Linked DNA regions of Canis lupus familiaris. The protein of the gene in region 1 interacts with the protein of each later gene in a pairwise test. Links are inferred from orthologs where the notes say so. Each region holds a gene or a part of one and is shown on either strand. Other genes may lie near its edges.

What was found. The genes of interacting proteins can lie anywhere in the genome.
Region 2: the proteins of CCNDBP1 (region 1) and CCDC146 interact in binary tests that used the Homo sapiens proteins (3 or more experiments, as listed by UniProt). The two-hybrid records come from large-scale screens. The link is inferred for Canis lupus familiaris from reciprocal best matches to the Homo sapiens genes CCNDBP1 and CCDC146.
Region 3: the proteins of CCNDBP1 (region 1) and THAP10 interact in binary tests that used the Homo sapiens proteins (3 or more experiments, as listed by UniProt). The two-hybrid records come from large-scale screens. The link is inferred for Canis lupus familiaris from reciprocal best matches to the Homo sapiens genes CCNDBP1 and THAP10.

The regions. Positions count from the first base shown.
Region 1 is NC_049251.1:10,350,164-10,358,182, reverse strand, and holds part of CCNDBP1 (cyclin-D1-binding protein 1), read right to left. Parts: intron 7,165-8,019; coding exon 7,083-7,164; intron 6,329-7,082; coding exon 6,232-6,328; intron 6,056-6,231; coding exon 5,982-6,055; intron 5,407-5,981; coding exon 5,330-5,406; intron 5,033-5,329; coding exon 4,752-5,032; intron 2,103-4,751; coding exon 2,042-2,102; intron 818-2,041; coding exon 771-817; intron 514-770; coding exon 399-513; 3' UTR 1-398. UniProt on the Homo sapiens protein: May negatively regulate cell cycle progression. May act at least in part via inhibition of the cyclin-D1/CDK4 complex, thereby preventing phosphorylation of RB1 and blocking E2F-dependent transcription.
Region 2 is NC_049239.1:17,667,830-17,675,848, reverse strand, and holds part of CCDC146 (coiled-coil domain-containing protein 146), read right to left. Parts: intron 7,402-8,019; coding exon 7,231-7,401; intron 7,198-7,230; exon of another isoform or gene 6,724-7,197; intron 5,652-6,723; coding exon 5,563-5,651; intron 5,466-5,562; coding exon 5,301-5,465; intron 3,902-5,300; coding exon 3,677-3,901; intron 1,909-3,676; coding exon 1,680-1,908; intron 1-1,679. UniProt on the Homo sapiens protein: Essential for sperm flagellum biogenesis and male fertility.
Region 3 is NC_049251.1:35,005,760-35,013,778, forward strand, and holds the end of THAP10 (THAP domain-containing protein 10), read right to left. Parts: intron 4,297-8,019; coding exon 4,154-4,296; coding exon of another isoform or gene 4,148-4,153; intron 4,059-4,147; coding exon 3,842-4,058; 3' UTR 2,899-3,841; downstream 1-2,898.

The DNA of each region.
Region 1 (8,019 bases):
CCAGCAGGTCAGCATTTTATTAAGACTAACAACATGTTTTTTTTTTTTTTTTTTTTTTTTTTTGACTAACAACATGTTTAACATCAAACAACACACTTTACTGCAAATAGGGAATGAGGCAGCTTCTGCAGGAATCTCTGAAATACCATTCAGGAACACAAACTCATGCAATTGCCTTTTTTATCTAGCACAGAAAAATATATCATACTCATACAGTTTATAAATAACTGCCAGTCTGGCCTAACCAATAATCTTTGGTAATAATGTCTCTGAACAAGTATAGACAGGAACTCCTTTTTGATCTAGAGAGCATTCTAGCTCTGTTTTAAAAGCAGACTTCAGAGGCTACCTGTGATAGTAAGGGAAGGAGAGAAAAGAATACAAATGAGCCTAAAAACTCACAATTCAAGTTCATTCTGAGTAAGTTCCTTGATTCTGTTCATGCAATGGTCAACAGCATTGATGAGTAAAGGGATCCAACTATCTTCTGGCTGTGGGGTCACATGACTCACTCTGCAAGTGGAATGAGGAAAAAAGAGAGGTTAAATTTATACTGTCCAGGGAAAATCTACTCTCACCAGGGAGCATAGAGGAAAACTAGTAAGACAAGGCAAGTTTCTTTGTAGAATTTAAGCTGCTCTGCAACTGAAGTGGAAAGAAAACACCACACCCACCTTCTTCCACTTCTTGAAATGGGGCTTTGGGAATTGAGAATGACTGGATGGGCTTATTCTCAAAAAAGCTATTTGGAGAGAAGTCCTCGTACTCACTTAGTAATTTCAAGTGCCTTCTTTAAGACAGATACAAGTTTCGCAGACTAGAAAAGAAACAAAGAAGTTACTTACCCTGAGCCCTACATAAAAAGGGAAGGAGAGCTAACATATATTAAAAGACTCAAGTAATAAAAACCTATTAAAAACAAAAACCCTGAAGGAAACTTCCAAAACAAAAATTCTGATTGGATTAGAGTGGTAGGATTATAGGATTCTTCTCTCTTTACAAAATCTTATTAATATTATTGCTATAATATTTTTATAAGTTTAAAAAAGTTTTAGTACTTTAAAATTTAAAAAAACTAGAAAAAATCAGAATATAACCTGAATTTACCCCAACTGATGATAGCTCCAAATATATAGCTCAAACAGCTGTTACTTTAAAAAAAAAATCTATGTACAGAATTTCAAGCATACCAATAACAAGATAACATGAAGGAATCGTATGCCACCAATATATTTTAAATTTTTAAATTTTATTTTTAAATTTTAAAATTTTTATTGGGGTAATTGACAAGGCATAGTGCCAAATGTTATTTCTTAGGAAGTCAATTTCTAAAAAGTGAATGTGAAAAAAAAAGTTAACACCCGAAAGGATCCTATTCTACTTTAAAGTATTTACATACTGTAAAGATACATTTGATGAATTTAATTTCCACTACCTAATTTATCAAATATTTTTAGATTTGGTAATTCTGAATGTAAGATATAATAAGCCATTTGGCAGTTTTACCTCTTTTTCCAATAACTATACAGATAATCTGAGTCTCTAAAAATAAGAAAATAGAATTATCTCTAGCACAGAACCCAGGACTTGAAAGAATACGATTAAGATCAGATTTTTACAAAGAGTTTGACCCTCTAGTTAGATCATCCAATAGGTTTATATTAGAACAGATTTTGTTTCTGGACACTATTTTTGCCCACACTAGAAATCAGAATAATGACTTTAGGTTAACAGGATCCTAAAGTATTGTGGTAATTCAGACTTTCTTTTCAAAGTAGCATTTTCTAAGGTCTTTGGGTTTTTCTAAGTGATTACCCAAGTTGTTACAGAAGAGAGTACTACCAGAACTCGTGGCTATTATAACTATAAATATTATAAATATTTATCGAACAGAAATACAGGTAAGAACTGTGACATTATCGTTGTACTCGCATCCAAGTGTAATAAATAAATATATTCCCTAGAGATTAAAGGAAATACTAGTGGCTAGTGAAATCCTACCAGTAGAGTCACTAGCTATTTCTTCAAAGTTGGTACTTACATTGATTCGCACAGTCAAGTGGCACATAGGTGGATATATGCTCAGAGCCAAATCATCCACACTAAGGGCAGAAAACAAAAATAATCATTAACAAAAAAAAGGAACAAAGCTCAACTGGGTAATTTCCAGTACACAATTAAGGAGTGACCAGTGAGGATATAACTGTCCCTTAAATTCCTATCAATTCCTTAAATTGGGCAACTAGAATCAATTCAACTGATATTTACTAAACATGTATAGACCCCATTTCACTAGGAAGCTGGGAGGAAAAAACTCCCTTGGCCCATATGATAGGACATGATTAATTCAGTTAAAAATGAGAGGATCTGGAGGTGTCTAGGTGGCTCAGTGGATTAGGCATCTGACTCTTGGTTTTGGCTCAGGTCATGATCTCTAAGGCCAGGCCAGAGATGGGAGATCGAGGCCCACCTCTCTGGGCTCAGTACTCAGCAGAGTCTGCTTCTCTAATCCCTCTCCTTCTGCCCCTCCCCTCTCCCCTGCTCAGTGCTTTTGGTGCTCTATTTTTTTTTAAAAAAGGGAAAATCTGAAACCATCAATTTAATAACTGATGCAAATGGAGTTCATCCATGGAATGCCACTCAGGTGGGCACTACTTTACCCAGGTGATGAAATTTAGTGCCACCAATAATGGGAGAAACTTAACACTACATGCCTCTCCAATATGATACAATGAGAAGCATAAAACACTCAAATATATGATATCCTTGCCAAAAAAATATTTAACTTGAATATAATCTATAATCATGACAAAGACAATCACATGAATCTTGAATTTGGGGTATTTTACAAAACAACTGACCTAGATTCTTTAAAAAGTAAATGTCAAAAAATACTAAAAAGGACAGGGACTGTTATAGTTGCAAGAGACAACCAAAGCAAACAACTGCAAGAGATGACAATCAAATACAATGTAACACCATGATAGAACCCTGGATTAAAATTTTTAAAAAGCTATGAAATACATTTTAGAAATAAATGGAGGAAATTTGAATATTAAATATTATTGTCAACTAATATTCGATAAAGGAGGAAAGACTATCCATTGGAAGAAAGACAGTCTCTTCAATAAATGGTGCTGGGAAAATTGGACTTCCACATGCAGAAGAATGAAACTAGACCACTCTCTTTCACCATACACAAAGATAAACTCAAAATGGATGAAAGATCTAAATGTGAGACAAGATTCCATCAAAATCCTAGAGGACAACACAGGCAACACCCTTTTTGAACTCGGCCACAGTAAGTTCTTGCAAGATACATCCACGAAGGCAAAAGAAACAAAAGCAAAAATGAACTATTGGGACTTCATCAAGATAAGAAGCTTTTGCACAGCAAAGGATACAGTCAACAAAACTCAAAGACAACCTACAGAATGGGAGAAGATATTTGCAAATGACATATCAGATAAAGGGCTAGTTTCCAAGATCTATAAAGAACTTATCAAACTCAACACCAAAGAAACAAACAATCCAATCATTAAATGGGCAAAAGACATGAAGAGAAATCTCACAGAGGAAGACATAGACATGGCCAACAAGCACATGAGAAAATGCTCTGCATCACTTGCCATCAGGGAAATACAAATGAAAACCACAATGAGATACCACCTCACACCAGTGAGAATGGGGAAAATTAACAAGGCAGGAAACAACAAATGTTGGAGAGGATGCGGAGAAAAGGGAACCCTCATACACTGTTGGTGGGAATGTGAACTGGTGCAGCCACTCTGGAAAACTGTGTGGAGGTTCCTCAAACAGTTAAAAATAGACCTGCCCTACGACCCAGCAATTGCACTGTTGGGGATTTACCCCAAAGATACAAATGCAATGAAACGCCGGGACACCTGCACCCCGATGTTTCTAGCAGCAATGGCCACGATAGCCAAACTGTGGAAGGAGCCTCGGTGTCCAACGAAAGATGAATGGATAAAGAAGATGTGGTTTATGTATACAATGGAATATTACTCAGCTATTAGAAATGACAAATACCCACCATTTGCTTCAACGTGGATGGAACTGGAGGGTATTATGCTGAGTGAAGTAAGTCAGTTGGAGAAGGACAAACATTATATGTTCTCATTCATTTGGGGAATATAAATAATAGTGAAAGGGAATATAAGGGAAGGGAGAAGAAATGTGTGGGAAATATCAGAAAGGGAGACAGAACGTAAAGACTGCTAACTCTGGGAAACGAACTAGGGGTGGTGGAAGGGGAGGAGGGCGGGGGGTGGGAGTGAATGGGTGATGGGCACTGGGGGTTATTCTGTATGTTAGTAAATTGAACACCAATAAAAAATAAATTAAAAAATAATAATAATAATAAAAATAGAAAAAAAAAAATAAATATTATTGTAATCAATGTTAAATTTCTTGGATGTAATAATAAGAATGTTCTTAGGAGATACATGCTGAACTATATATGGGTGACATGTCATTGATGTCTGCAACTTACTCTCAAATGGTTCAGGAGAAAAATAGCACATCTATCCATAGAGAAATAAGCCAATATTGGAAAAAAAAAATGTGAACAACAGGTGAATCTAGATGAAGGCTATATGGATGTTCACTGCAATACTTTTTCAACTTTCCTGTAGGTTGAAAATTTTCAAAAAACTGGGAAAAGCTTGGGGTGACAGCACAAGCTGATATTATATGCTGATGCTCACATTTCAAGTGGGGATCCTGCTTACCTAGGACTGATCTCATCAGAAATATCCACAATGTCGTCCAGCTGGGCCACCTGATCCTTCTTACCATTCTCTGCCACTGAGATCCGGATTTTCTTCAGGCAGGCTTTGGATGCTCTCACCAGTGCAAGGCACGGGATTATGAGCTCTTGATCTTCTTCTGACCAATATAAGTCCCGATTGTTTGGATACCCCAACCCATCATTCTCTTCATCACCATTGTTGTCAGAGTTGTCCTCAGTGTCATTTAAGAGGCCACAGTATGGGTCACATTCTTCTACGGCCTAAGACATGCCAAAAAGAAAAAAAAAAAAGAGCCTATTATACTTACAGCATCATATCTAAGCTATCCCAAAAACGTCAAGCCAGCTACCAACGGCCACCAATTTGAATCACTTCCTAAACTCCGTTCTTACTCTCCTAGCCCAGTAATGGACAGAGAGGAACGGTACTAAAACACACAGTGGCATGGGCTAGAAGATGGGAGTTGAAATCCAGGAGTGAGGATGGGATTTATTGAATCAATGCCCAGGGCATCTCCTTCCTTTATAGTCTCATCTATCATGGAGTTGTCCCCTCACCTGCTCCATTTCCTCATGTGCATCCTTCACAAAATCCACATTCTTCGTCAGCATTGAAAGGGCTGCAGCTTTGTTATCTATGAGTGAAAAATCAGAAGCACTAGAATTAGAGAAGAAACCTCAAAATTCTGTCAAGCCTGCAAATGACAACCAACAGTGTTCGCATTTGAGGAGAGTACCCAGGACAGTCAACAAGAGCGTGGTCTAAAGTAAAAGTTTTCTAACACCCATCCTCTGGGTACTCAGATAGGAGTTAAAAAGCTTTTCATCATTCACCACAAGAAGAAACAAAATGGTCCCTTGATGTTTCTCATTGTGGTCTTCTTGGACGAACACTGTTTTTGATCTAGCTGGCACTATCTCCTAAGTGCTTCAGTGTGTCCCATAATACTGCTCCTGGGGCAGGACCAGGAGAACAAACCACATCTGTTCAACTATATAGGGCTACAGAAAGAGGGCTAAAAAAAGTATAAGAACTAAAAACACTAAGAAAAAATATTAATACTTCTCTTTTGATATTGGTGATAAACTCTATGTATTCCACTAAACTATAAAGTAAAATACTTACATGTCACAAAACTAGAAATGAGATATGAGAGAACTGTCTGCCTTGGCCAGCAGAGTCAATGGCCCGTTTCCAGTTCTTACCCACCTTTTGGTATTCGAGGTACCTGCTGGCATGCAGTCCAGACACTGTTGTAGGAAATAAGGTCACTGTTCTCTAGGCTGGAGAAAGGAAATCAATAAGGATATATCAATAACCAAGGTTCTTCTTTCCTAAAAATCTCCTTCCTGCGAGTCATCATTCACAGCTGTTAGTAACTCTTGTTGAAATGAGGTTTTTTCCCCTCCCTGAAGCAAGGAATCCCATTAACTGACAACCCAAACTATGGCATCACTACCTCTGAGCTGGAGTTATGAAAAGCACATCCACAAGTTGAGCCATTCCATCTACGATGTCCAGAGTGGCATTCCGTACCAGCTTTCTCAGGGTGATTCCTAAAGAAACCCAAAGACTAAGTAGCCTGGTCTTCTTTCCAGAAGTCACCATCTGCTTTCTCAAGAGTTTAAGCCCTTTAGAACTTGAGGTAACATGCACCCACATGCTTGAATTGCAGTGCCAACACAAAACTCAAGTCTTATGTATTTCCCCATATCATTTTCTTGTTCCTCCCACTGAGTGCTGAATGAGAAAGATCTGAAACAAAATCTTTCCATGACAGCATGTATATATTCATTAAGGTTAATGGTCTCTTGATAACTGTGGATGAAACACTTGAAGTTTAAACCATCTGTGACTAACCCTGAAGATCCAGGAGACACGTATTCATTTATAATTTTGGCACAATCATAATCAAAGCATTAATTTATGGGCAGGGACAGAGGTCATTTAACCTGTAAGGGAGCTCAGAAACAGGGTGGGATGTAATATGGGTGGAGGAGACTGGGGAGGCCCCTATAGATCCAGCATCCATAGTCGTTAGAATGAGTTAGAGATGGGGTAGCCAGTAAGAATTAAAAGCCTTACAGTCAGGCAAAGCAGGGAAGATGGTAATACAGCATCCATACCTTAGCATAAAGGCTTATTTACGGATGTCACTGATGTTATAGAATTACCCTTGAGTGCATTTTATGGGAGAAAGTTACATTACATGCTCAAATTGAGGAAAAGGTAAAAGTTTCAGGACAGAAGCTGTCATATTAGCAAAGATATACTCTATAACCAAACATTTCTGTATATACATTGGCTTACCTTGATCCTTGGGAAGTGAATAGTATACTGTAATGATTTCCTTGATGGCAGTATGGATTTGTTCACAGAACCTCTGGGTTTCCTATGAGGTGATGGGTCAATTTCAGAATAAAAAAAAAAGAAAGAGATTAGATTCATCAGCCCCCCCCCCAAAAAAAAAGATTCATCAGCCCATCTACTGTAGAAGAGAGTAGACATCTGTACAGTATGATCTACAAACATTTTCTGTAGTCCTTTTAGTTAGGCTTTGTGCTATTCTTGCCGTATAGCCAAGAGTAGTTAGCTGGACATCAGAGAATGAGGTGACAACTCAAAAAAAGCATTAAGAAACAGGAGGAAATCTTATTGCTAATACTCTGTATCTTGAGATATTCATGATCTACTGTGAGGTATTCACTGTATCTTAGACCAGGAGATGGCAACTGTGGCCTATGGGCCAAATTAGGTCCACTGCCAGTTTTTATAAATAAAGTGTTCCTGGCACACAGCCACACTCTTGTTTACATGTTACTTCCAACTGTGTTCACGCTACAAGGGCAAAGTTAACTAGTTCACCCATGAAGCCTAAAATGTTTACTATTTGGCTTTTTAGAGAAGAGTTTGCCAACCCTTAGACCATTAACCAGGTGTCTGATTTCTCTAACAGAATCACAATATACCTAAAGGTAATTAACATAGAACCTATATTGCTCAATGTTGGCTATTTTCCTTCCAAGTAGTCACTGGCTTTCTCCTATCTTCCTTGTCCTCACTTTCCTGCTAAATTCTAAGCCAGTGCTATGTAAAATGTGGTCCACAGATTGGTGCCAGTCTATGAACAGTTACCAGTCTAGGATGGAAGATAAGTACAGTGATTGAGAGTAACTGCTTAAAACTGTTTATGACAATGTAACTTTGTTTCAACATCCAAAAACATTAAAACAAACAAACAAACAAA
Region 2 (8,019 bases), on another chromosome or scaffold:
CCACTCATTGGTAGTAGGAGTCAGACCCACAGGAATCCTGGGGAGGTGACCTTGGAGACCTGAGGGACTCCTGGGAGTGCCAGCCAACCCATCCACATCAGGCTACACTTATGAAAGAAGTGATTAGGAGAACTTATGACTAAAAACAAACATACATGGGGCAGCCCGGGTGGCTCAGCGGTTTAGTGTAGCCTTCAGCCCAGGGCCTAATCCTGGAGCCCCAGGATCGAGTCCCACATCAGGCTCCATGCATGGGGCCTGCTTCTCCCTCTGCCTGTGTCTCTACCTCTCTCTCTCTCTCTTTGTGTGTCTCTCATGAATAGGTAAATAAAATCTTAAAAAACAAACACACACTGGAATTAGAACCTTGGTACATTTATGCACAATGAAAGATCCCATCACTGATAAAGCATTTACACACTCAAATGGCATAAAAATATGAAAGTAGACCCGTTATCTGGTTCCATAGTCATGTAAATCCCATGACAGATTAAATGGAAAAAAAAAAAAACCCCAAAAAACAAAACCAGGACTCAAAACTGTCTACACATGAGCTAATGAAAACCGTTTACTTATATATCTTGAAAAAGACCAGAAGGCTCTCTGCCAGATTTTTGATAATTTTAATAGTGATTGTATCACAGGAATAGAATTTTATTTTTTTAAATGCTTGTATTTTTTCAAAACTTCATTAACTGAACATGTTTTAATTTTATCATCAGGAAAAAAAACTGAAAACAAATCTGACATTTTAGAAAACACACTATAGGTTAAAATTTGTTCCTGCTACGTTGAGTCAATGGAAAAAAGTGTAAGACACAAATCTTTATTTAATTTTTTTCTTCTATTTTCATTAAGAAAAAAACAATTACATGTGAAGAAAGTAGTTTTATGTTCATAATTTTTTATGTATATGTGTATGTATATTATTATATATTATTATTTCATGTTTAAATTGTTTGGCTTTATTCTACATTTAAAAAGACTGTGTCAGAGACCAGGCTATTCAATGGCAGGGAAACTACAGGGATTAATAAGGAGTGTAATTATATGTGATTGCTAATTAACAAATAGCAATCTCGGCTTCTAAGGTTAGGAGTTCTAAAAATGAGAGAATGAGATGGTCTCCAAGATCTTTCTAGCAAGCATGAAAAACATAGTTATGCTGGTGGCAGTGAAGGCCTGGACTCATTAAGTTTTGAGGTATAAGGAAGCTAGTGCTGAGATTCGGGAGGGCTTAAATTCCAAGGAAGGCAGAAAATGCTTCATGGGGAACCATCTGTAGCCTGCATTCCTGAAACATAAATTCCACCTGGAGCAGCAGAATTTTTTTTTTAATTTATCTATTTTAGAGAGAGCAAGCTGGGGGGGAGGGGCAGAGGGAGAGAAAGAATCTCAGGTAGACTCCCCACTGAGCACAGAGCCCTAGTGGGGCTTGACCTCATGACCTTGAAATCATAACTTGAGCCCAAATCAAGAGTATGACGCTCAACCGACTGAGTCACCCAGGTGCCCTGGAGCAGAGGCAGTTTTAAAGAAGACACGTAACTCATGGGTTTGTACAGGTACCAGGAAGGGCCTGGCTCAGTTTACATGTAAGAACTTGATATGATCTTCAAACCAATAAAGTGAGGGGAGGCAAATGGCCCCAGGAAGCGTCTGATGAATGTTTCCCCCACCTGAATTTGCAGCACTGCTAAGTCAGCATCCAGGGCCCTCTTGGTTGGCAATAATTTCTGGGTCACGTGAATTTGTCTTTGTTTCTCAGCAATCTTCAGTTTCAGGAATCGGATCTTTTCTTCCAGGACATGTATTTCAATTTCTCCATTTAGTTTCATCTTCTCTTGGATATTTATTTTTTCATAAAAGATGCACACCTCCTCTTCTCGCTGTATCAGCTGAACACCACTATGGCCAAAAGGAGAGGCAGAGGCTAAGAGGAAGTTGAGACTTATGGTAATTCCCTCTGGATTTGGGCACAAAACATCAACATTACGGAATTCCAGAAGACAATAGATATTTACTGTCTGCTCTCTAGTTAAACACTTTAAGTATTCCTGGGGATATGAGAGGGAGGGTTGTTTAGTGTCTCTGCTCTGAGCTGATCATGCAGTTGGCTGGTCACAGTATCTCTGCAAGTCCCAAAGGCTTTCTGAGGGTGGGAAAAAAATGTCATTCCCCATGCATGAATGAAGTGACCCCATAATCTGATTTTCTGCAGACCCGTTTCTTGGGCCCGGCTTGCCAACCGAGGTCTGGCCAGAAGTACCCAGGCAGGGGGCCAGGGAATGTGTTTCTGCAGTGATTCTATGGAACTTGCCAGGCCTATTAGGGTTTTTTTTTTTTTTTTTTTTTAAGTTGAATATTTTTGATGCAGATTTCCCCCTAAACAGGCAAAGCTCTGTCCTTTGTAATCACGCCAGGGGAAAGACCCCTCCATGTGAGGAGAATGTGGGAAAGAAACAAAGTAAGAATTTTCCAATTCCAGCCCTACAGGTCTGACCAGGGCCTGGGAAACATACTGCCTAAATAATTTGTTTTGTGCCGAGAGCCAAATAAGAGCACTTTTTTCCCCTCTCTCTCAGAGAAAACACCTGCCAGTAGTTTGAAAAAGTAGTGTCCTTCGCACCCTGAAGCTCTTCCCACACTCTGCATAGCCATTATCCCAGAGTTCATCTTTAGTTGCTTTTATCTCTTTCTCTCTCTCTTCCCTTATAGTGTGTGGACACATAATTGGATTTGCTTAATCTTAATGTTAAGATTATTATATTTCATCTGCCATTTTAGTGGCTCTTCTGGGGATCCTCTCATTTCTCCTGACAACAGAAGCCAGCAGCAATGATTTACCACCTTTCTGTGCTTGTAGGGTCCAATGCTTAGAATGTGGCTTCACGTGGAGCAGCCCACAGTCAAGCCACGATGAGGCCAGAAGCAATCCCTACAATCTCACTTAGAGCTCCCCATAGCTCAGGCAGCTTGGGAACCCCGCTACAGCAGTCACTGTGAGTAACATAACCGTAGCCTGCAAAAAATAATGCTCTTCGAAGAGTCTTACCTGCTGAGAAAGCGAGTTGGGAGAATTACTTGACAAATATCATACTAGGACCAAACCTGTCACAAAGGTGGTTACAAGATCCGAAGACTTATTTATGTCGATTATACTGAAATAACTTGCTGGTATCAGGGGCAGCCTGAAGGGTAGCTTGGGGAAGACCCCTGATCTTTGAGTGAGCCACCTACACCCACCTAAAGCCTACTCTTGCCTGTCTCTCTCTTAAAAGAACAACTTCTTATTTTCAGGCCACACACGCAGCTCACCCCCCCCTGCACCCCCACAAGAGGCGAGTGAACCCAAAACGTCAAATGCCCCCCACTACCCACCATCAAGTCTAGAGAGGAAAAGGGGCAGGCAACCTGCCTAAATGGGATCTCTGGGTTTCATTGCTCACATGATGTTCCTGTTTTTTTTTTTTTTTTTTTTTTGTTTTTAAGATTTATTTATTCATGATAGAGAGAGAGGCAGAGAGGCAGAGATACAGGAGGAGGGAGTAGCAGGCTTCCTACCGGGAGCCCGACGTGGGACTCGATCCCAGGACTCCAGGATGATGCCCTGGGCCAAAGGCAGGCGCTAAACCGCTGAGCCACCCAGGGATCCCCCAGATTCCTGGCTTTTTACCTTTCATTTCGACGCTGAACAGCTTTTTCATACTTCTTGCGCAGCTGCACCATCTCCTCTTCGACGGTGGTGATCATACTGGCCAGCCTGTCGATGTTATTCAGCTGGGCTTCCTTCTTCTCTTTCATTTCCTGGAGTTTTGCTACAATTTTGTGCACATCATTTTGCATGCTTTCACGGATGGTAACATTGTTGGCATGTTTCAGCATGGAATTTTGGAGCTTCCTTTAAAAATAATGGGAAAACGGGGAAGATGATCGTTTCCTTTGATTACTTTAAAAATAATGAAGACTTCAGAAAGTATCAAAGTCTCTGGGGCTGTAGTCTGTCCCTCAGAACGACAGGAGTAGTACGTAGTCCACGCGGGGACCTGGGCGTTTGTCACCTCCCAGCACCCCAAGAAGGGTGAGTACAGTACGTGAAGATACTTTGAGGGACAGGAAGAGAGACCACATTGACATAACGAATTCCAGTACGGCTGACCCTTGAGCGACGCAGGTTTGAACTGCGTGGGTCCACCTATAATGTGATTTTTTGGGACAAATACGGCACAGTGCTGTAAACGTATTTCTCTTTTTTTATGATCATCTTAACATTTTCTCTTCTCTAGCCTACTTTATTGTAAGAATACAGCATATAATACATATAACACACCAAATATTTGCTAATCAACTGGTGCCTGGTCAGCAGGAGGTTATTAGTAGTTAAGTGCTCTACAGGGATTGGCCCCCTGTGACCCGTGTGTTGTTCAAGAGTTAACTGTATATTGCTATAATAGTTCTACTTTATTAGTAGTTATTATTAACCTCTTACTATGCCTGAGTTATAGGTTAAATTTTATCATAGGTATGTATGTGTAGGGGGGAAACCCCATAGAATATTTAGGGTTCAGTAGTATCTGTGGCTTCAGGCAGCCACTGGGGGTCTTGAATGTATCCCTCGTAGATAAGAGGGGCTACTGCAGTAATTTATTTGAGAGAGAGAGCACGAGCAAGGGGAGAGGGAGAGGGTCAAGCAGACTCCCTGCCGAGTGCAGAGCTTGGAGTACCATGCAGGGCTCAGAATCCTGAGGTCACGCCCTGAGCCAAAGTTAGACTTTTAACGGACTGAGCCACCCAGATGCCCCAAATAAGGACTATGTTTATTGATAAGAAAAGCGAGCCCAGAGAGGTAAGTTAGCTTGCCCAAGGGCATGCAGCCAGTCAGCTGCGGGGCTGGGATTTGAGTCTAGAAAGCTACCTCTCTTAACCACTCTGCTGTACGGCCTCCTACAAGCACAGTAGATGCTTCAAATCTATATCCAGGGGGTGCTGGTTAATAAATATTTGATTGTCTTCCAACTTTAAATGCAAAGTGATCAGATTTGTGCTTTTCTTTCTAATTCAGTAAATTAAAACAGTATACAAACATGGTTTTTTATTCACTTAAAAATATGGCTATCCAACGTGGAAGCATACAGAATCGCATTCAGATGCTTAGAGTGTCATTTGTAAAGCATCTTTGAGCAAGGGCTCTTCCAGCTTTGTTATATGAATATCTTCTACTTTACTATTCCCAGGTATTTTAGAGTTCAATGAATCAGAAGAGAAACTTTTGAAAAGACAATAGTTATTATTACACTTACCTTTCTTGAGTAACTGCACTATTTCTTAAAATTTCCAGTTCGTTTAACAACATTTTATGCCTTTCTTTTATCTCATTTACTTTCTGGTGAGCTTTGTGAAGTAAGTTAACAAATTTGTTTCTTTCATTTCGAATAGTGTCATACAATTTAGCAAACTCTTTGAGTCTGTGGAAACATGAGGGTTTTTTTTTTTTTGAAACTTGTGAAATAAAATCCATTTTTTCCCCACCTAACAAGATAGATCATCATGTAATTCTTTTACCTGCGATGAATTTCACGTTTTTTCTTCTTGTGTATCCTGATTTCAAGATCCTTTGTTTTGATCTCCTTAACAATGTTGGTATATCTTTGCTGAAATATGAAAATTAAGTGTGAAATTAAAAAAGAAAGAAAAGCCCACCACCATCAACATATGGACACTCCAGCTTCACCCTAGCTCATTCCTGTCCAGTAAGGAGGAGAAGTCGGTCTTAGCCAGCTGAGTTGTACAGTTGAGGGGAAACTGTAAGGGAGAGATCTGGAAGCTGTCTGCCCAGCTGAACTGAATTAAGGACAAGAAAGAACAAGAAAAAGGGAAAGAAAAGAGCCTCTACAGGTTGGCTTTGAGGAAAAGTTTGGGGAACTTTTGAGAGAGCCTAGGAATGAGTGTGGATGGCACAGACGGGCTGGGTAAGTGAGGAGTCTGTGGAGGATAGCTGAGGAGAGGGGATTTGTAGTTAGTTTTGACAGATGCTATTGTCATATTTTGTGAGAGGCCGAAGCCGTGATTAAAAAAAAAAAAAGAATTTATTTATTTATTTATTCATGAGACACAGAGAGAGAGAGGCAGAGACACAGACAGGGGGAGAAATAGGCTCCCTGCAGGAAGCCCGATGTGGGACTTGATCCCAGGACCCTGGGATCACGACCTGAGACAAAGGCAGGTGATCAACCACTGAGCCACCCAGCACCCCCAAGGCCATGATTTTAAGGTGCTTTTCCAAGAAGAAATGCTACCCTGTGTAAATGCTTGGCTCAGAACAAAGTTTGCGGGATCCCTGGGTGGCTCAGTGGTTTAGCACCTGCCTTCAGCCCAGGGCCTGATCCTGGAGTCCCAGAATCGAATCCCGCATCAGGCTTCCTGCATGGAGCCTGCTTCTCCCTCTGCCTGTGTCTCTGCCTCTCTCTCTCTCTCTCCCTCTCTGTGTCTCTCATGAATAAATAAATAAAATCTTAAAAAAAAAAAAAAAAAAAACAAAGTTTGCCCTCGGAAACAGCCAACATCTGGGTCCCATGCTAAATTCAGGAATTCTCTTTTAGTAATACATTACATTCATTTTCAACAGGAAACCTCTGAACATAATCCTTTCGTGGAATAAATGATTTTAGCTGGCATGACAGCACAGTCATTTTTTTTGCCATTGGTTTCATTGTTCTTTTGGTTTGGGATGTTGCCCTGGGTCAACTCCGGTACTTTGTTGGGAGCCCAGTAAAGTCAGGGATTTGGAGCAGTAACTAAGGGCATCCTAGCATCGGGCTAAACAATGCTGGCCTGATGGCCTTGGGAGGGACAGCAGGCGAAGGCCACTGCTCTTGATTTGTTCTTGGACAAGCCCTGGTGGCTTGTGAGCGGCTGGGGAATCAGAGACCCGCCACCTGTGCACTGTCCGCTCTGCCCTGGAAGGTCCCTACCTTATTCTTACTGAAGTTGTCATGTGCTTGAATCCTCTGCTCATTGTCATTGACCCAGTTCATTTTTCCTCTAGATTGCTGACTATCGCTAGTTGAATCCTGAAAGCCTTTTTCACACTGTATGATTGAGTTTTGTTTGGGGAAGCTGTGTAGTCAAACTTGAAGGATACAATTACAGCTTCCTAACGAACACGGTGTACAGCTGAGGATCTCCTGAACTCTTACGGTAAGTAATGGATGGTTACAAAAATGCAGTTACCTGAGCTTTCAGGAAATCCTTGGATTTTTGGTCCTTCTCATCAATTTTGATTTGAGTCATACGGACAAGGTTGAAGACAACGTCTCGCATGTTTTCTTGCTCCTTTAAAAGCTTATTTTCTTCTGCAAGTTGTTGTTCCACTAACTTGGTCTCAGCTTCTGATAGGATTTTCTTTTGAAAAGCACAACATATTATAACTTTTTTCTTTGAAGAAACATACTAGGGCCAGTACCTTAATTTTTTTATTTCCTTTGTAGAATTTATTTTACTAGGATGTAAAACAAAGTAATGACTGCCTTAGCTCCAAGTAATTTATCTTATAAAAGAATGTACAAATATGATAACATGTAGTTTTTCTTAATCAGACTGTATTTTCAAGTAACTTTAAGAAAAAGAAGAGACAGGGCAGCTTGGGTGGCCCAGAGGTTTAGCGCCTTCGGCCCAGGGCGTGACCCTGGAGACCCGGGATCGAGTCCCGCGTCAGGGCTCCCTGCATAGAGCCTGCTTCTCCCTCTGCCTCTCTCTCTGTCTCTCTCTTTGTCTCTCATGAATAAATAAATTAAATCTTTAAAAAAGAAAAAGAAGAGACATAAAACATGTTTTTGACAGTGCTTGAATAAATAAAATTTGAAAATCTAGAATTAGACATTGGTGAAATAAAGCATATATTATTTTAAAACTGATTATATACTCAATAGCCCTTTTATTTTAATTTTTGCTGGTTCAAACACATCCTTTTTTCCCAAATTCAATGTGGGGTTTGGTCTCTGAGATGAAGAAACAGACCCA
Region 3 (8,019 bases), about 25 Mb from region 1:
TTTGACAGATATAGAGCAATTTAGATTTTGTTTCATCTCTTGTGTTTTGATAGTTTGTCTCTTTCAACTCCAGAATTTCTATTTGGTTCTTTTTTATTGCTTTTCTTTTTTTTTTTTTTTTTTTTATTGCTTTTCTCTTCTGAGATCCCCACTTCTTCTTTCTTCAATATTGCTATACCTCCGTGTTTGAACACGTTTGTAATAGCTCTTCTGAAGTTCTTGTCGGCTAAATAAAATCTTTTTATAAAGGTGGGGGCACGTAGGTGGCTCAGTCAGTTAAGGGTCTGCCTTCGGCTCAGGTCATGACCCCAGGGTCCTGGGATCAAGCCCCACGTTGGGCTCCTTGCTCAGTGGGGGTCTGCGTCTCCCACTCTCTCTGGGCTCTCTCTTAAGTACATAAATATTTTTTAAAAATAAAAGCTTTTCTTTGCTAATTACAAGTTCTGGTCATCTGGGTGTTGCTTCCTTTTTGTCTTGATTATTGATCACACTTTCCAATTTCTCCACATGACTAGTAATTCTTAATATCGTACTGGGCATTTTAGATGATAAATTCTGTCATCTTATTCTCAAGCATGACGGATTTTGTTCTGACTGCCAGTTAACTGGGTAGGACTCAAACTCCAAACTCTGCTTCCTCTAGGACGATAAGCAGCTAAGCAGAGGTTTCCAACTGTTGCTTTCTGCTGGGACCCCTGAGGTCTCTCAAGGCAACAACACGTGTACTTCAGTGATCACTATAAGATTTGGGTGGTTTAGAAGCAGATTTGGGTCCTTCTCCCCTGTGGCTTCTACTTTTCCATGACTTGCCCCACTCCAGTAGCCCTTAATTTTCAACTCTTGATTCCTCAGGTGAGCAGGATGGCACCTTTCTGCTGGAGTGAGTGCATTCAGGTGAGAAGGCACACAAAAGACATCTCGCCCACCGTAGCTCACTTCTTTTAAGGCTGACTTGCTACTTCTATTTGCTTTTTTTTAAAATTTTTATTTATTTATGATAGTCACACACACAGAGAGGCAGAGACACAGGCAGAGGGAGAAGCAGGCTCCATGAATCGGGAGCCCGACGTGGGATTCGATCCCGGGTCTCCAGGATCGCACCCTGGGCCAAAGGCAGGCGCCAAAACGCTGCGCCACCCAGGGATCCCTTCTATTTGCTTTTGATGCTCTCCTGGTCTGTCAGTTATTGGTTTTCTATAAATGTTATGCAGGAAGGCTAATCTGATACAAGCTTCCTTGCCACTAACAGAATAATAAATGCTCTATTTGTTTCCATGGGGAAATTTGGGGAGATTTAAAAGAAAATGACATCATCACTACCATAATTTCTCCAGAATTCCCAGAGGAATATTTTTGACCAAACAAGCTTTATATTCACATACACTTGACATAGTTCTCTTCTCTTGCCTCAAGTCCAGTGATTTTATGTGTGAATCCCATTATGTTTTTTCAGTATAAGACATAAATACTGGCAGGTAAGCCAGCCATAAAACACATTTAAAATAGAATTTAAGCCTAGAACAAGATAAAAATTCTTGATAGTGACAGCAAATGCCTTACATGGTCTGGTCCTGTATACCACTCCAATCTCACCTAGTTCATTATCTCCAGCCACCTGAGCCTCGTTGTTCCTCAAATACCAGAGCGCCTGCTATTTCTATTACGTGGAATGCTGCTCTTTCTGATCATCTAGGTCTCTGGTCAATTATTGTATCTTCAGAGAGGGTTTTCCTGATTATCCTACCAAGAAGAGCCAACCCTCTTCCCAATCCCAATTATGTCCTAACATCTTACTCTGCCTTGTTTTCTTCATAGCACTAATCACTGTCTAAAATTATTCACTCATTTCCTTGTATATTGTCTGGCTCCCCTCCAAAGGTAACCACCAAGAGGGCAGGAGCTTTGTCTTGCTCACCAATGTATCCTTGGTGTCTAGAATAGTTATCTGGCACAGAGTAGGTTTAATAAACACTTATTAAATGAACAAATGAAAAATAATATGGTAGGTGTTGAGGTATATCACATTTTTTTCCCATTAAACTCATGTGGCAACAAAAGAAATGAAGATAACTGAAAATATGTAAAAAGTAATCAGTATCATATAAACTATAAGTCCCTCATATTTAACTTTTTAAAAAAGATTTATTTATTCATGAGAGACACACAGAGAGAGAGAGAGAGGCAGAGACACAGGTAGAGGGAAAAGCAGGCTCCATCCAGGAAGCCTGATGTGGGACTCGATCCCAGGACTCCAGGATCACGCCCTGGGCTGAAGGCGGCGCTAAACCACTGAGCCAGCCGGGCTGCCCCCTCATATTTAATTTTTTAAAAACCAGTATTTCATTTTACTTTAGGACAGTGAAACATTGTACATTATAAAATTATGTGAGTCAACAAACCAAACAAATTCTCAATCGGTAAGAGGAAAAAAACCCTAACTGAATAGAAAGAAACAGAGAGAAAAAAGTAAGGAAGGAAAGGAAGGGAAGAAGGGAAGGAAGAGAAGTTATGGCTGTCAAAGTTGTTTAACATATAGAAATGAAGTAAACTTATGGCAGTGAAATTTGGAGATAAAGGGCATATAACATTCATTATAACTTGAGTTAAGGCAATAGGCTGTTTAAGAACTCAAGAGACAATAGGTACTTACTGATAGTATTTAGCTTCAGAAGATTTATATACTTAAAAATACTGTTATGTGTTATGTGTTATGTGAACATAATCATTGTTCAGGCTCACACTTTTATTAATATTTTATTTTATTATTCTTTTTATTAAAATTACACTGTTCAAATTAAGTCACACATGAAATTAGGAAGAAAATCACTTTGGTATATTATTTAAACCTTCTAGAATAAAATGCATGCAAGTTCTTCCAATCATGCACAACTAACAAGATGAGGTACAAAATGGACATTTATTTTTATTCTCAATAGAAGATCAGAGTTATAATAAGTTTCTCAGAAACCATTGTAACAAATTACTTCATGGTACAGAGTTGCCATAGAAATTTTCCTGGTGAATGGCAGGTGGGACAGCTGTTTCACATGCTTATTTCCCAAATGTAGAATTCAACAGAAAGGTATTAATAGAGGAAAACTTAATTCTTGAAAAGGAATATGTTAGAAATATAATACTTTCTTTTTCCATGTCAAGAATTTCAATCTAAATTAATCAAGCTAATTGGTTTGTTGTAATAGGAACCAATGCAAATAGATTTCATTAATAATGCAATCCAAGTATATGAAACTCTATCTCTATTTAAATTAATTCCCTTTGAAAATTTTCTGTAAGAGCCATAACTTCACCAGAAATGCTCACAAGGACCGATTCACAGATCCAACAGTATTACAAATGGACAAACTAATAAATATACAACATAAAAAAGTAATAATCAAGGATGAGTCTCCTGGCTCCCAAATCATTTAATAGTATCAGACTTGGCTGTGATTACTATTATCTTCAAATTATTTAGGATAGTGACATTCTAACTTGTGAATGTCAAATAAGTCCCATATGAATGCTGCTTCTGCATTAAGCTTAAATATTCAGTGCTTAATCTTGATCTGGAAATGCTGCTACCGTGGTTTTGTTTTATAACTCGATATCCACCAAACGGATAAAAAGAAAAAAGAAACGAGGTGAAAGTGGGAGGTGGGGAGGTTTGTGGGCAGGATAATCTTCATGATCTTGGCAGGTGGGCATATTTTTGCCTTAGAGCTAAACACATTTTGCTGATATTCAAGTATCCCAAAGTGAAAGATTTACAAGGGCAAAGAAATAATTATGTGAGCGAAGATTTGAAAATCTATAGCACATCAAGTCATTTGATGTTGCATTTTTAGCAAGACTCTTCTTTCACTTGCACTGCTATGTAGGACAAATCACTCTGCTCACTCTTGACATCCCAATCTGCATCTGGGTCTGAGTCACTGGAGTAGATGTCAAAGAGAGAGCTCCTCCTAGGCTGCAATCCGTCAGTCTGAGTAGTGGCATTACACAGTTGTGTTCCAAACACTTTCACTTTGGCCTGAATACCTGAAAGAGAAAAAACACAACTGCCTGTGAATTACATTTTGCTTGTCATTTATCTTTCATGTACAAAAGACAAATTCAATTATCAATCAGTTGAAGAGTCAAAACATACCAACACTTCCGGTGAGGGGGCCTTTTCAGAGACAACTGTGTACTTTTATGCACTGGGCCTTCTTCACAGTGAGTAGGTACTGAAGTGACACTATAAGATAGATTATTAGCAGGGACTTGTGTTTGTTTAACTTCATTTTCACATGTAATCTAAAAATATAAACCAGAGGAGAACTATATTAAAGGCAAGTCCTGACTAGTGCGGTTTTATCTTTCAAAAGTGAGTTGTAAAAGAGTATAAACAATAGTTTTCAAGGTCACATATTAGGAAGACTGGAGTTTGGACCCAGGCAAGCTGGCTCCAAAGTCCAAGTTCTTAAGAACACTGCCATGCTGTTTTTTTTTTTTTTTTTACTATATGCAAATCACAAATTGCTAAGCATTCTGGTTAAAAGGAAATCTGTTATTATTTGCTTACAACTCATTATTTTCCCCTAAATCAATACTATTAGCATTAAGTTATTGGATATCATAGCAGTAGCATTATTCTAGAAAACCTAATATAGGCTACTAAGACCCAGCTTAAAGAAACTTTGTGAAAAACTTTTGTGAAGAGTCCCTTTGTAACAGGAATAATTATACCTAATCCTACTGAGGATTCGTGTTTATAAAATTATGACCTATTTCCACTGGCTGTAACTACTTCTAAGCCAAGCATTATGAAAGTCTAGAATAAGGACATATTTCTTTACAAAACAATTTATTCCTGAAAAAACAAATGGCATTTTAGAAATTGAATCAGGCTTTAAAAAATAACTTGTTTCCATTAGAACAAAGATACCTTTTATCACTAAGAAAAATTTGCATCATACAGAGAAGCAAAAATAAACTAAAATTTACCCATAATCTCTTTATTCATAGCTAATAACCTTGTATTTTGGAACTTTTTTGGTCTTTTCTATGTGTTTTGTTTTTTTATTGGGATCATCTGTTGTATAGTTTTGTTTTTTCTCTAATATATCATGTTTTGGGGCACCTGGGTGGCTCAGTTGGTTAGTCACCTGCCTTCAGCTCAGGTCATGACCTGGCTTTCTGCTCAGCCTACTTCTCCCTCTCCTCCAGATCCCCCTGCTTGTGCTCTCTTTCTCTCCATCAAATAAATAAATAAAATCTTAAAAATATATGTTTCTATGCTATTCAATATTCTACATAATTTTTATCGCTGCTTACAATCTTTTGTACAGATATACTGTAACTGATTAAAACAATCTATATTGGAAATCTTTAGACATAAATCTTTTGTGCACATATCTGATTATTACTTCTTTTTTTTTTTTTTTAAAGATTTATTTGAGAGAGCTAGATACAGCAAGCATGCAAGTGAGCACTGAGTGAGGGGAGCAACAGAGGGAAAGGGATAAGCAGACTCTCCACTGAGCAGGGAGCCTGATGTGGGGCTTGATCCTAGGACCCTGGGGGTCATGACCTGAGCCAAAAGCAGACACTTACCCAACTGAGCTACCTGGGTACCTCAATTATTACTTTGTCACATTAACAGAATTTCCAAAATGTATTTATCAACTGGAACATAAGCCAAAATAAAATATTTGAAATGAGGCAGAGAGAGACAAAAGTTTGGAAAATATAGAAAAGGTGACAAGACAAAGTAGGGAAGATGAAAAAGTATTATATATGATATTAATTGTAGTACCAGAAGAAAAGAGAGAAAATGAGATAGAAGCACTATCTGAATAATATCTGAAAACTCACCAAAATGGATAGAAGACATTAAGATATGGTTTCACAAAAGCACTATTTGTATTTATCAAAGTAAAAACAAAGGAAGCCATACCTATGCACTTTACAGTAAGACAGAGAAAAAATTAGAAGCAGTGGCAGGAAAAAGGTAACATTTTCTTCAAAGGGGCAACCATAGGAGGATAATGCCAAAACTCTAAGGATACAGAAAGACTGAAAATAAAAGGATATAAAAAGATGTACTATGCCAACACTAACCTAAAGAAAGCTGATGTTGCTATGTTAGCACTACATAATACAAAAATTGTTAGAAGATCAAATATGTAAACTCAAAATCAGAGTGGTAGATTTTTAACATGCCTCTCCCAGTATTACTTAATACAGTTAAGTAGACAAAATTCCATAAGGATAGAACATCTAAACATGATTTTTTTTTTAAACATGATTAATAGACACATATGGATCACTGTACTCAACTGCAGAACATTCACCTCAAGTGCATATGGAATATTTACAAAAACTGACCTATGTTTTGCCTAATACAAATTTCAATACATTTCAAAGGATTAAATTCATATGCTGTATATTCTCTGGCTAAAGTGTAAATGACCTAGAAATCTACAACAAAAATAGAACTACAAAATGCCTGTAGGTTTGGTAATTTAAAAATCTACTTCTAAATAACCCAAGATAAAAGAAATTTACAGTGAAAATAAAAAGGTATTTTAAGCTAAATAATAATATTCTGTATCAAAAACTTGTGCAACAGTTGATGCCATGCTTACAAGGGAATTTATAGTCTTATATACATAGAAGAGTATAAAAAATAAGGCTTAATTTAGATTGAGATTATTAACATCACATAAAAAACTATTCCACAAAATATTTCTAATATATTCTCATTTCAGGAGTCAATTTTTACTCTATTAATACCACTCTAGGGAATTCTACAATTAGGAAATAAGCATGTGAAACTCAGATGCCCCTTTGACCATTTATATGAAAATTATGAGCCCCATGATCCAATCTAACTTGTTAAGAAGTTAAAAGAGAACAGTAAATAAAAATTTTAAAAATAGAGGATCCAAGAGTGAATTGTAATGTAAACTATGGACTTTGGATGATAGTGATATGTCAGTGTAGGTTCGTCAGTTCCTTTTTTTTTTTTTTTTTTTTTTTCCGTCAGTTCTAACAAATGTACCACTCTGGTGGGGATCATGATATTGGAGGTACCTATGTATGTGTGGGGGCAGTAGGAATATGGGAAATTTCTCTATAGTCACCTCAATTTTGCTGTGAACCTAAAACTAAACAAAATGAAGTCTTACAAAAATAATTTGAAAATACTGGAAAAGTAAAAAAAAATTTAAGCAGCTGGGCAAAAATGGAAGTATTTGGTAATTTAATGTTTTGTCTTCACATAAGTAGGTTATTTTTAAGATTTTTTTGCATGAATATGTACAGATATCTTTGAGTGAAGTTTTTACTTTTTAACAAGTTTAATGGAAAAACAGATATGAAAAGATCTCTATTAATCACTTACCTCAGTAATATATAAATCTAACCTATCAACTAAAAAATCAAAGTTGAAGAAATAAGTACAGAGAAGGATGAATGATAGAAAATAATGGAAAAAAAATACCAGAGAGAAGACAACATGGCAGTTTATTCTTTGAAAAGACTAATAAAAATCGATAAACACCTAGTGAAGCAGATCCAAAACATAATAGAATGTTTTAAACATTAAACAGAAAGATACTGGTAAGTTGGTCTACATTTTTTTTTTTTTAAACAGGGATGGGCTTTTTTAAGATTTATTTATTCATTCAGAGAGAGTGAGAGAGAGGCAGAGACACAGGCAGAGGGAGAAGCAGGCTCTATGCAGGGAGCCCGATGTGGGACTTGATCCCAGGCCTCCAGGATCACTCCCCGGGCTGCAGGTGGCACTAAACCGCTGCGCCACCGGGGCTGCGCTAAGTTGGTCTACATTAAAATTAAGAATTTCAGTACATCAAAAGACACTATTAAGAGTGAAGAGGCAAGCCACACTGGGAGAAGAGATTTGAAACATATTTAACTGACCAATTTATTAAGAGCCCCAAATCGACAAGAGTAAGGTAATCTACTATAAGAAAGGGCATATCACCAAAGAGGCTATCCACATGTTCAATTAAC